3 linked regions of the Neurospora crassa OR74A genome follow. The protein of the gene in region 1 purifies or fractionates together with the protein of each later gene. This does not show direct contact. Links are inferred from orthologs where the notes say so. Each region holds a gene or a part of one and is shown on either strand. Other genes may lie near its edges.

The links. The genes of interacting proteins can lie anywhere in the genome.
Region 2: the proteins of NCU07299 (region 1) and NCU06622 purify together in Saccharomyces cerevisiae (affinity purification with mass spectrometry; 4 studies listed by BioGRID, with this or other methods). This does not show direct contact. The link is inferred for Neurospora crassa OR74A from reciprocal best matches to the Saccharomyces cerevisiae genes PRP11 and LEA1.
Region 3: the proteins of NCU07299 (region 1) and NCU03042 purify together in Saccharomyces cerevisiae (affinity purification with mass spectrometry; 3 studies listed by BioGRID). This does not show direct contact. The link is inferred for Neurospora crassa OR74A from reciprocal best matches to the Saccharomyces cerevisiae genes PRP11 and HSH155.

The regions. Positions count from the first base shown.
Region 1 is NC_026504.1:4,474,537-4,477,781, forward strand, and holds NCU07299 (splicing factor 3a subunit 2), read right to left. Parts: upstream 2,117-3,245; 5' UTR 1,953-2,116; coding exon 1,209-1,952; 3' UTR 501-1,208; downstream 1-500. Other genes in the region: NCU07298 (CAIB/BAIF family enzyme), read left to right, coding at 2,833-2,997, 3,053-3,084, 3,135-3,245. UniProt on the Saccharomyces cerevisiae protein: mRNA splicing factors, PRP9, PRP11, and PRP21, are necessary for addition of the U2 snRNP to the pre-mRNA in an early step of spliceosome assembly.
Region 2 is NC_026504.1:1,833,621-1,837,138, forward strand, and holds NCU06622 (U2 small nuclear ribonucleoprotein A'), read left to right. Parts: upstream 1-1,142; 5' UTR 1,143-1,441; coding exon 1,442-1,520; intron 1,521-1,638; coding exon 1,639-1,679; intron 1,680-1,790; coding exon 1,791-2,051; intron 2,052-2,168; coding exon 2,169-2,303; intron 2,304-2,359; coding exon 2,360-2,602; 3' UTR 2,603-2,996; downstream 2,997-3,518. Other genes in the region: NCU06621 (hypothetical protein), read left to right, coding at 1-450; NCU06623 (hypothetical protein), read right to left, coding at 2,997-3,518. UniProt on the Saccharomyces cerevisiae protein: Involved in pre-mRNA splicing. Associates to U2 snRNA in a MSL1 dependent manner and is required for normal accumulation of U2 snRNA. Required for the spliceosome assembly and the efficient addition of U2 snRNP onto the pre-mRNA.
Region 3 is NC_026501.1:8,343,984-8,347,974, forward strand, and holds the start of NCU03042 (U2 snRNP component prp10), read right to left. Parts: upstream 2,801-3,991; 5' UTR 2,460-2,800; coding exon 1-2,459. Other genes in the region: NCU03041 (hypothetical protein), read left to right, coding at 3,044-3,694. UniProt on the Saccharomyces cerevisiae protein: Contacts pre-mRNA on both sides of the branch site early in spliceosome assembly.

The DNA of each region.
Region 1 (3,245 bases):
TAGTCCAAGACCTCTTAGAACCTTGCGGTGATGATTTTTACAGATACTTCCGAGTCACCGGTCCAACCAGATCCGACAACCCTTGCTTGTTGCAGGGCTTGCGAATTTGCTGGGCTCCGTGTCGTCGTGGTTTTGGTTTTGTTGCAGGATCGAAGCCCTTCCCGGGGCTCGGCTCGCTTGCCTCTCCTTGCTAGTGCAGTTGTCTTTTTTTTGCAATTCTAATTGCTCTCGACAATGATGTACAAAAGGCAGATCTGAGCTTGGTTAAAGGGGGTCTTTGGATGGGTTCGGACTTTGGAAGCATGCACTACAGGCAAGATGGGAGAAAGCTGTTAGTGCAGCGCTCCTCACCTTTGTTTACTTACGTAGTCGAGATAGCATATTCTACTGTATATAAGCAATTTCACCATGAGGATCATTACTTCACTGCCAGAATTATACGAGCTACAATGGTAAACCCACCCATATGGCCTGCTTCGCTAGAAAGACAGCATGCAAACAAACTCCATATTTAAAGATAAAGTGGTAAGTGGCTGAAGAGCCGACAGCATGCAAGTCACCTCACGTTATCACATAATGAAGATAATCGATACACTCACGTTTCATGAAAGAAGGCGATAATGGGCGTAATGTCCGCTCATCGGGTCTGTTTCATATGTCAGCTAGGAGGAACACGCAACTCCAAGACTGTATATACATATCCTTACAACAACAATCTCGAGGTCCCTTCTGCCGGTGATTTTGGTATCGTTCTCAAGTCCCGGTTTTGTCTGATATCTCCGTCCGTACCGAACGTCCCAATCTCCTATGCCGTTGCGAGCGGTTTGGATCCATTTTCCCGATACCCGCTCAACGGCGATCGTCGTGCTTCGGATGGGCCGTCCGCCCAAAGCTTCTTCGGACTTTATATGATGCCGATTCAGATCGCCGTTGGACGAAGGCCAATGACCGGATCATGATCTGGTCCTCAACACAATTTCTGGGGATTGTGTATTCCCCCTTCCACCTTCTTTCTACCAGTAAGCCCTCCTGCAAAAGTTACGTGACTTTGTGGGGACGTCCGAGAAGCCGAATTGGGGCTGAACATGACCCAAATAATGACAGGAAACTCCGTAAACGCCAAGCATATTTTCCCGATCCCCGATCAAATCCGAACGTGGGTGTAGAATAACCGTTCATCTGAAGCAATACCAGAAGAGTAAAACAAATCACCTCCTCCCCGTCAACCCAGGCGCCGCATTGAAGCGCTCCTCGCGCTCCGTCATGAACATGATCTGCACCCAGTACTCCTTGCTATCCGGGTCCCAAAACTCAAACTGCTTATCCTCGCGCTTGTCCAGCTCGCGCGCCGGGATCTTGAACCCACATGTCTCGTACGGCTCCGCGGCGACCAGGAGGTACTGGTAGTTCCTGTCCGGTTCCTCGACCCTTTGGCTGAAGGCGCTCATGACCTGCCACTTGGGTGTGACGCCCGGGGCAATATCCGGGTACTGCAGCTGGAACAGCAATCCCTGCTGGCGGGTGATGGGGTCGCGCACTTTCGTGATCTTGTATCCGGGGCGACCAATCTTGACCACGTTCTTGCGCACGCCGCCGGCGCCCAGTCCCAAAGCGGCGAAACCCGCGCCGACGACGCCGACGGGGAGACCCGTCTGCGGATCGACTTCGCCTTTGCCTTCTTTTTGCTCGCGGGCGGCACGGCGAGCGAGGTTTGTTTGATGCTTCTTGCCTTGGGTGTGGGCGAGGTAGGAGCCGTCGTTCTGGTGCACCGTCAAACACAGACGGCATTCGAAGGAGCCGAGATGGTTACGGAAAATGTAAGGGTCCTTGTCGAGATCGATGGTCTCGAGAGCGAGCTTGCGCAGACGCTCGCGACGGTCGGCGTTGGTGGCGGAGTGGGAGGCTACGCCGCCGCCGCCGAATTTAGAGCCCGCGCGGTTCTGGTAATCCATGTTGCTTTCGTTTCGTATCTCTTATTATCAGACTAGATCGTGTGGAATTTGAGGGGGTGAATGTATGTGTGTCGTGTCAGCAATGTGGTCGAGATAAGGCGATGGACCGTGGGTGAGGTTATGGGTTTCGATGATGGATGATATCAGGTGTAATTGATGGGACAGGTGTGGACTCCCCAAGACGCGCCGTGGAAAAGTCGAGACAGGCGTTCAGGCGAAGAGACTGAGCGTTCTGATTGGTCAGCTGATGGCAGCTGCCAACCTTCTGCAAGTGTTAGCGACAATGCAGGAGGTTTGAGTTGACATCGATTAGTACAGAGCAAAGTTATGGCCTGATGAGGCTGTGGGATGTATTTCTGTTGTCAAAATGTGGCCCAGTCGTCTATTCGATATCTGAAGAGCGCGCATTTCCCTTCGTCACCGTCACTTGAACTTGACAGAGCTGTTTTGACATGGTGTATAGGGTCATGGCCGTTATCGTTTCCATCATACCACAACGTCGAACAATTTCATGTAGTAGGAAAGAGTATTTAACTGTATCTTCAATATCTACTTTGGACGGCTACCTACTGTCACCCGGAATAACAATTACTACTCGGCATCGTGGGGTTCGTTTTATCGTGGCCGATGCCGCTGAGTTTGTGGGCGCTTGCCGTCTCAATACCGGAATCGCGCTGGAAGGTGCATTGTAAACCTCGGGATCCGGCGGCTGGACTCCCGGGATTGCGGGGAAGGAACAGGAACGGCTTCCGTTATTCTCCACCGATCGCCGGTATAGAGTAGCATTCATGTCATCCTGTCTTGGCTGAAGCTCCCATGGGCCTAGTTACTAGCTTATGACCGTTTGTTTCTCCATGTTTTGTGATAGCCTCTATACAATATGATGCGCCGCAGTTTGTTCAAGGCCATCCGTGCTTCGGCGCTGCGCCGTTCTATCCCGGCGACAACTCGTCGTTGCTTTGCCAGCTCCTCAGTCCGTTTCGCGGATGGAACACTTCCACTTGAGGGCTACCGTGTGCTAGACATGACCAGAGTGCTGGCTGGGGTAAGAAGACAACTCACCCTCACACAGGGACGAGCTGACATGCTCTTCCATCCAGCCTTACTGTACACAAATTCTCGGAGATCTCGGGTGAGTCCATCGACCCCAAAGTGCGCGAGCGCCAGCTGAGACCCTTTGAGCGCAGAAGTGATCAAGATCGAGCATCCCGTAAGAGGCGACGATACTCGAGCATGGGGACCACCGTATGCCAGCTACAAGTCCGGTTCGTCCATGGAGGGACCGGGTGAATC
Region 2 (3,518 bases), about 2.6 Mb from region 1:
CCTCAAGAACAGCCAAGCGTCTACCGCTCGCCTTCAATGCAATCCTCGAATGCAGAGAACCGACCCCCATCGCCGAAGCAAATGACCCCAATAGTCGAACGTCATGCTCTAGCACCAATGGCTACCACACCGGACAGGCCCACTTCTCCTTCCAAACGGACGATTCTGGGTGCCCTTCAAAGCACTAAGCCTTGGACCGCGGCAGATCTAGACAATATATTCTCGCCCAACAAGAACGACTACGATAAGGAAGACGGCATTGACAAACTCTTGCACAAGGGCAGTGAGCTCACGAGCCCGGAAAAGCGGATGACCGTGGAGGAGTGGATCTATCATAATGCCAACTTGGCTGAGCAGAGATTGAAGAGGGAATGCGAGGAGATGGTCCTGCTGTTTGAGAAGCAGGGTGCCAGAGCGATGGAAGCTTTGGAGGGGCTTATCGTCGAGTAGTGAGTGAGTGGCACGACCCTTGGGCACCAAATTATCAGCATAAAAGGACGAGAGGTGTGGATTCGCATACTAAATCCCGCTTCTGGTTCAAGGTCGGGCAAATTCTGTGTGTGTGTGATACCAGGTAATGGACATGGAACTTGCGTGATGCGTTACATAGCAAGCTTATTGTGTCAGTGACTTTGGCTTCTGGTTTGAGTAGCATGGAAGGCGTCATTCGACGTCCGGTTAGACGATGTAGGGATAGCATTGTTGGTGACGTTACAATGGAATTGCACAATAGTGTGCATCATAACGAAACAAGCCCTAAAGTTACAGCTGCAGGTTCTTTAGATGATGCCGGGTTGGGGATCTGGACTAAAGAGCGAGTGTGATGAAAGTGGTTTTGGTTTTTCCATAGCGGGCGGTTAGTGGTTGTGAAAGCGTTTACACCAAGAAGTAGAACGAAAACTTGACAGCAACCTGGCGAGATAGCGAGTAAGAAACATTTTAGGCCAACAAGAGGGCAGAAAATGAACATATAATATCTGACTCTAGTACCCTAGTCTTTCAGACACAAACCGTGTCGACTCTGTTTAGGAGCTCCGTGTGGTTGCGACTTGCAAGTAATCCGACGCGCAAGGGTTAGGGTTACTACATCGTCCGTTTTTTTTTTGCGGCGCTGTCCATGACTTCATTGGGGCAGGCAGCCTTGTCAATCTACTTTGGTAACTTCACTACAGCCACCAATTACGAACCACGCGACGCGCTTCAACCTTTTGCTTCTTTAGTTGACTTCCATCAATTTCAATCTCGAAGGCGAACACAGGACATACGGCAATTCTCCTGGCTGTAATCAATAATTAATCACCTGTTTGCAAAGCCCCTTTGCGCCGCCGTATTACAAAAGCACCACCAGCAACAACCATCACAAGGTACCGACCGGCATCGCAGTAGTAGTAGCAGCGACAGCTCGACAGCTCCCCGTCGTCGTTGCACTCCCGTCGTCACAATGAGGCTGACGGCAGACCTTATCAACAACTCCCTTTCCTATCTCAATCCGCTTAAGGAGCGAGAGATAGACCTCCGAGGTGCGTTCCATCGAGAAGAGCAGATACTGCACGGTTGATCTTCAAGTTTCCAAAAGCGCGTACAAAGAACAGAGTTGATATATCGAAAACCTATGTTGGGTTGGGATACATGCAATAGGACACAGAATACCTGCTATTGAGAACTTGGGCGTTGCTGGGGTAAGTTTCTCCCTTCTCCTGGTTCTTCCTCTACTGCTAGTCCTGCTACTGGTAGCCCGTTTCAACCAAATTACCAATTAATGCAGTTTGCTAATCCGGTCGCTACTACAGCCCCACGATGCCATTGATTTCACCGACAACGATATCCAAGTGCTGGGCAACTTCCCGCTCTCTCCCCGCATACGCACCCTCCTGCTCGCCCGCAACAGGATCGCCCAGATCCAGTCGACCCTACCGAATGCGACCCCGAACCTGAAGAACCTCGTCCTGGCGTCCAATAATATTGGCGAGCTGGCGGATTTGGAGGTGTTGGGAAGGTTTCCAAGGCTTACGCACTTGGTCTTGACGGACAACCCCGTTACCAAGAAGGAGGTACGTCACACAACGCCCTTTCGTCGCCCAGTGTTATGCGGCTGAGAGAGAATCGGAGACGGGGGTGGCAAATGGAATGAATGTACGGAATGGCTGACAATGTTTGTCGACACACAGAACTACCGCTACTGGGTCCTCTGGCTGTGCCCTCAGGTTCGCTTTCTCGATTACGTCAAGGTCAAGGACGCCGAGAGGCAGAAGGCGAAGGAGCTGTTTGGAACCGCTGATGAGCCGACGGAGTTGGCCAAGACGGTATGTACCTTGTCTTCTTTTTCAATGTCATGACAACCCTGCTAACATGCAAACAGATAAAGGGAATCAAGAGCAAGACCTTTGACGTTGGCGCCAGCTCCGCCAACGGTGCGGCCGGCAGTGGTCCTTCCTCGAAACTTTCGCGTCTCAAGCTCACAGAGAAAGAGAAGAAGAAGTTGCAGGATCTGATCAAGAAGGCCGACAGCTTGGAGGAAATCATCAGATTGGAGAAGGCGCTCAACGAGGGACGGCTGCCACCTGGCATTATCGCCGAGGATGACGATGCCATGGAGGAGTAAGGAGGAACCAAGGTGACGGGCACCTGACGAACGTGGTAGATCAGGTTGCTATATGTTCGTGATATGATGGCTTGCAGAGGTGACGAAAAGGGGGAGGACGGCACTTCAAAGAGCTTACCATTTGTCGGCGTTCGGTTCTAGATGGGGCTTACTGCAAAATAACTGTATACCAAATTGCGCAAATTTGCTGGGTTGAAACAGAGATAGTGAAACATGATAGTGGTGTCATGATTTCACCGCAGCAATCGGAGCGGCCTTGAGGAAAGGGACGTTAGGACGAGCATATCAAGGGCCCATGGTCTTTGATTCGGCAACTCTACACCTCTTAACGTCTTGTACTCGCCCGGATATTCAACACGTCTATTCGGCTCTGTATGTATGGACAGTCACTCAACTAACCCGTCATATCCACATCCCCATCATGACCCCGATACTGCTGTGACGCCGCCTGCCTCATCTCCATCTGCAACTGCGCGCTGGGATCCTCGTCCGACGTAGTAGCTGGCGGTGATGCCGACAAGATACCCCTATTCATGCCGCTCATCACACCAGGAGTAGAACTAAATGGTCGTCCCGAAGCCGACGACATGCCCACCACACCCGTCGTGACACCCATATTGGTAATACCGGTATTAACCCCGCCAGCACCGAGTCCATTCACCGGCGCCGCCAGCCCTCCAATGCTTCCACTAGCACCGCTTCCTGTACCAGCAGGCAACCCCCCATTCATAGACATCAAGATGGACGTTTGCTGCAACCCGCCGGACCCCTTTTGCTTCTTGGCATTCGGCAGCATCGCCATCCTATCCCGCTCATCTCCATGATCACCCACTTGTCCCTGCTCCAAAGATAGCATAACCCCCTCGGGAGCTGCCAGTCCTCCCATAACCGGTCCAGGCGCCAAAACGACCGCGGC
Region 3 (3,991 bases), on another chromosome or scaffold:
TCCACGCTCTGTTCCTGGAACGCATGAAGAATGCCATCGATAAGGCGTTCTTCCAGACGCTCGCCAATATCGGCAGCACCGAGAGAGGCCACAATCTTTTCAACCGTCTCCACCGTCATCTTGCGGTAGGCTTCGCTCTCGTCCTTTAGGTTGGCTACGATCCTTTCCAGAATCTCGCTGACACCAACCTTTTGGCCAATGTCGACAGTGGTCTCAACGACCTGTCGGTAGTTGCGCTTATCCAGAGCCATACGCCGTACCCAAAAGCTCTTGAAGAACTCGTCCAGCACATGCTCCTTTAGGTACCCAGCCGTTACTCCATCGGTGGCGGCGCACTGTGAAATCACCTTTAGCACAACCTTCTTCATCTCTTCATCAGGAGAGGCAAATTCTCGTAGCAGAATCTCCATAATCTGACTGGTGTAATAGTTGGCATAGTCTTCATCCATAAGCGGGATAATATAACCGACAGCCTTGAGGAAACCCGCCAGACCCTTGCCTCGCTGCTTTCGGGCACCGGTCCAAAGGGGGTTGAGAATATCATCAAAGCTCTCGATACCGTAGGGGTTAGATGCCTCGGCGAGAGCTGCGATGGCCAAACTGGTCACTGTGCGGACCTTGGTCTGTTCATCGTTCAGGTTGGGTCCGATACAGTCAACCAGCTGCTTGAGATGGGGCAAGACTGCGCAGCCCATCAAGATGGGAATCTGCTGGACGATCTTGACACCCGTGTGACGAGCCTGCCACGACTTTTTGCTTCGGCACACAGCTCGCAAGAAGGGGAGCAGAGCTGGGATACCCAGAGCCGAGGCAACGACGGCAAAGGCTCTGGCAGTAGTGTTTCTGACATATTCATCGACGTGATCAATATCTGGACGCATGACACTGATCATTGTGGCAAGACCAGCAGCCTTGCTGAGGTTCGAAATGATTTCCCGACCCTCAACACGGGCATAGTAGTCCTGATCGATAAGAAGGGGTTCGATAACGACGAGAATCTTGTGAACGTATGGTCGAACCATGTCATCGAGCTTGTACAAAATACGATCAATAACCTTGACGAGAAGATGGCGTTCCTGGTCCTCCAATGTTTTCTCCATGAGCAGAGGAAGAATTTGGTTGAAGAGGGGGCCGGCACCAAAGTTGCGAGCATTATCTGTCAATTGTCTGAGCGCAGTCTTTCTCATAGGAGGAGTACCGTTCTTGACCTTCAGCAAGAGCCTCATAATCTTTCTCTCCTTGAGCTCTTCGACACTCAAACTTTCCTCATCTGCTCCGTCGGTGAGCTTGCCGAAGTATGCCATATCTTCGGGCTTGAAGAATTGCAGGTCTCCCACACCGGGAATCTCCTTTGGCACCTGCTGGCCTGTCATCCGTCCGCTGTCGGGGTCCTGCATCATGAAGCCCGTTGTTGGGGCCGGAGCCTGCATCAGCTTGTGTGCCGGTGCTCGCACGGGGGCATACCCTGGTGGCGGCTCAAGAATCTTGTAACCTTGTTCGGGGCCTGGAAGCATCGCGTCCAGCTCTTCGTCGCTGAGTGGTGCGTAGCGACCGGCCGCATCAGCCCCGAAAGCTGGGGGCACGACAGCGGTCTGGGTAGGGTGCATCGGGGTAGCTAGGCCGACATTACCAACAGGAGTGGCAGAAGGCGCCTGGTCCCAGCGGGATCGCTTCTTGGGTTCCGCCCCTGGCGCCCCTGGAGCGGGAACAGATGGTGCTTGATCCCACCTAGACCTCTTCTTGGGCTCTGGTGCCGGGGTAGCATCATCTGTAGAGGCGACATCCCATCTCTTCTTGCGCTTCCGACCAGCCGCAGCTTCAGTAGAGCCAGCCTCCTCGTTCTCCTTGTTACCGGAATCCTGAAGGGTAGGCTGGTGCTCCTCGACCGGACCGCCCTCCTTCATCTTCTGTTCAATGGCGCGCCGTACGCGCTCTTCCTCTCGCTCAAGCTCGCGGCGTTCCATGATTTCCCGGTAACTCTCGCCTTCATCAGTGGCACCTGCTTGGCGGTTGGCAGCAAATGGGTCGGCTCGTGTAGGGGTCAGAACGCGGTCAAATCGGCGCTTCTGGTAGTCGGTCTCCCTGTCGGTGATGCGGTTGCTCTTTTCGCCCCGGCCAGCCAGGGGATCATCCTCCTCGACGCCATCGCCGCGTGCAAACTCATCGATCTGAGCTCGGGTGGCGGTGTACTGTCCTACTAGGCGGCGGCCGGAGTCGGCATCTTCCATCTCTTCGTCGTCGCCATCGGCAGCAGGCAGGGTGGTGTGGTAGCCCGCAAACTTGTCGCCGGTGTTGCGCTCATACAGATCGGTGTCCCATATTTCTCCCAGCTTGGCTTTGGTGCTGTTGTCGGATCGTTGGTTGGCAGGATCAAAGCTGCGCGAACCGCTCTTGGCGGCAGCAGCAGCATTGCGCTCCTGCTGGAGCTTCTTGATCTGCTCAAAATCCGAGTCCGACATGGTGCTGGCCGTATCCTCCTCGTGTCATGTCAGGTCGGGGTCGTCGCAAGAATGTCCAGCGCGCCGCGAGGGTGAATGATGGTATGTGGTCGGGAGGAAACGGGACGTGATGATGTGGCGCTGCCCGTGGGTGGTTGGGTGGGATCGGGTATGGTAACTGACGGGGCAGCTAAATTGACGGTGACAGTTTTGACACTTTGTCGTGTATAACTGAGGCTATCAGCAAGGGAATAGACGGTGGAGGCAGAGGGATGCAGGTCACGGCTGAAGACGGGCGCAGTGGATGCGGTACGGTGCACACGCCTTCCCTGAAATTTTGGCCAGCGACTGGTGACGGGACGTGACCGTGAGAGAGCTGACACGGGCTTGGCAAGGCTGCACCTGAAGTTTCCACTCCAAGTGGCGCTCCAGGTGCATTAGGTAAGCAGTCCAGACCTCGACGCTTTCGATCGCGGTGGGGAGCAGGGGAGCTTCCATCCATTTCCACTTAGCTCATGTGGGGAGGCAGCACTTTCACTTTCCACACCCTCAACTTCCATCCATTTCACCTCTCTCAACCTCGCTTCATCTTCGCTTCGACCAGCATGACATCCCAACCTGCAACGCCGCTACTGTATGTAGAGTTGCTTTCAAATATCCGCCAGATATCGCTGGCCATCTCACTGGGCTCTGCAAGCGATGCGTCAACACGAGTAGTGGTGGCAGCGGATGGAGAGAATGTCGAGCTCACACACCATGGACAGTCACATACACTACATCTACCCGCAAAGGTAGCCCTTGGCGGCGCCATTCTGCCAATACAAAGACCTGGAGCCTCTGCGCTCTCCTGGAGGTTACCGTTGGGTCAAGGAACATACACGGATGCATCATCAGCCGAGTCGTCCACTTGGACAGCCACCGATTTGAAGGCCGGGTCCGAAGTTGTTTGTAGACAATGCCAGGCCGTTGTTGTCAAGCGAGATGTTGTCAAGGTGTGGAAAGACCTCCCGAGTGAGAACTGGGCTGAGATGATGGAGTTTTGGCACTGTCACAAACCTGGTGACCACGATCATGACCATCACCACCACGACAAGTCAAACGGCGTTGATGCCAACGGGCAAAGCGATAGGGCAGATGACATGAGTCTTGCAGCTCGAGGATATGGCGCGAGCTCGGCCATTTCGGCGCAACAAGGTGTTGGGTTTGTTGATCTGACAACGCTGTTATTCGTCGAGCAGGACTGTTCCAACATCACGGTAAGTCCATATGTAGCATGCTCATGACTTGGTCTATTCACCGTCTCGAATGCGTCCATTTGAATCTTAGCAGTCGGGGCATCAAGAAGGTAGCCAAGTCGGCCTCGGCCCCTCAATGGCATGGATACCGATACAAATGCCCAAAATCAAGCAGACTCTGTCCCCTGCTTATGCGGGGCATTGAGTGGTCGACGAACCTGACTTCTGTGATGGGGCGCTTCCAGTCGGTGGATGACAGGCTGAACCCTCCGCATTTCGCCAGATCATTGCCAAGTCCTAAATGCTCTGGGATTAACT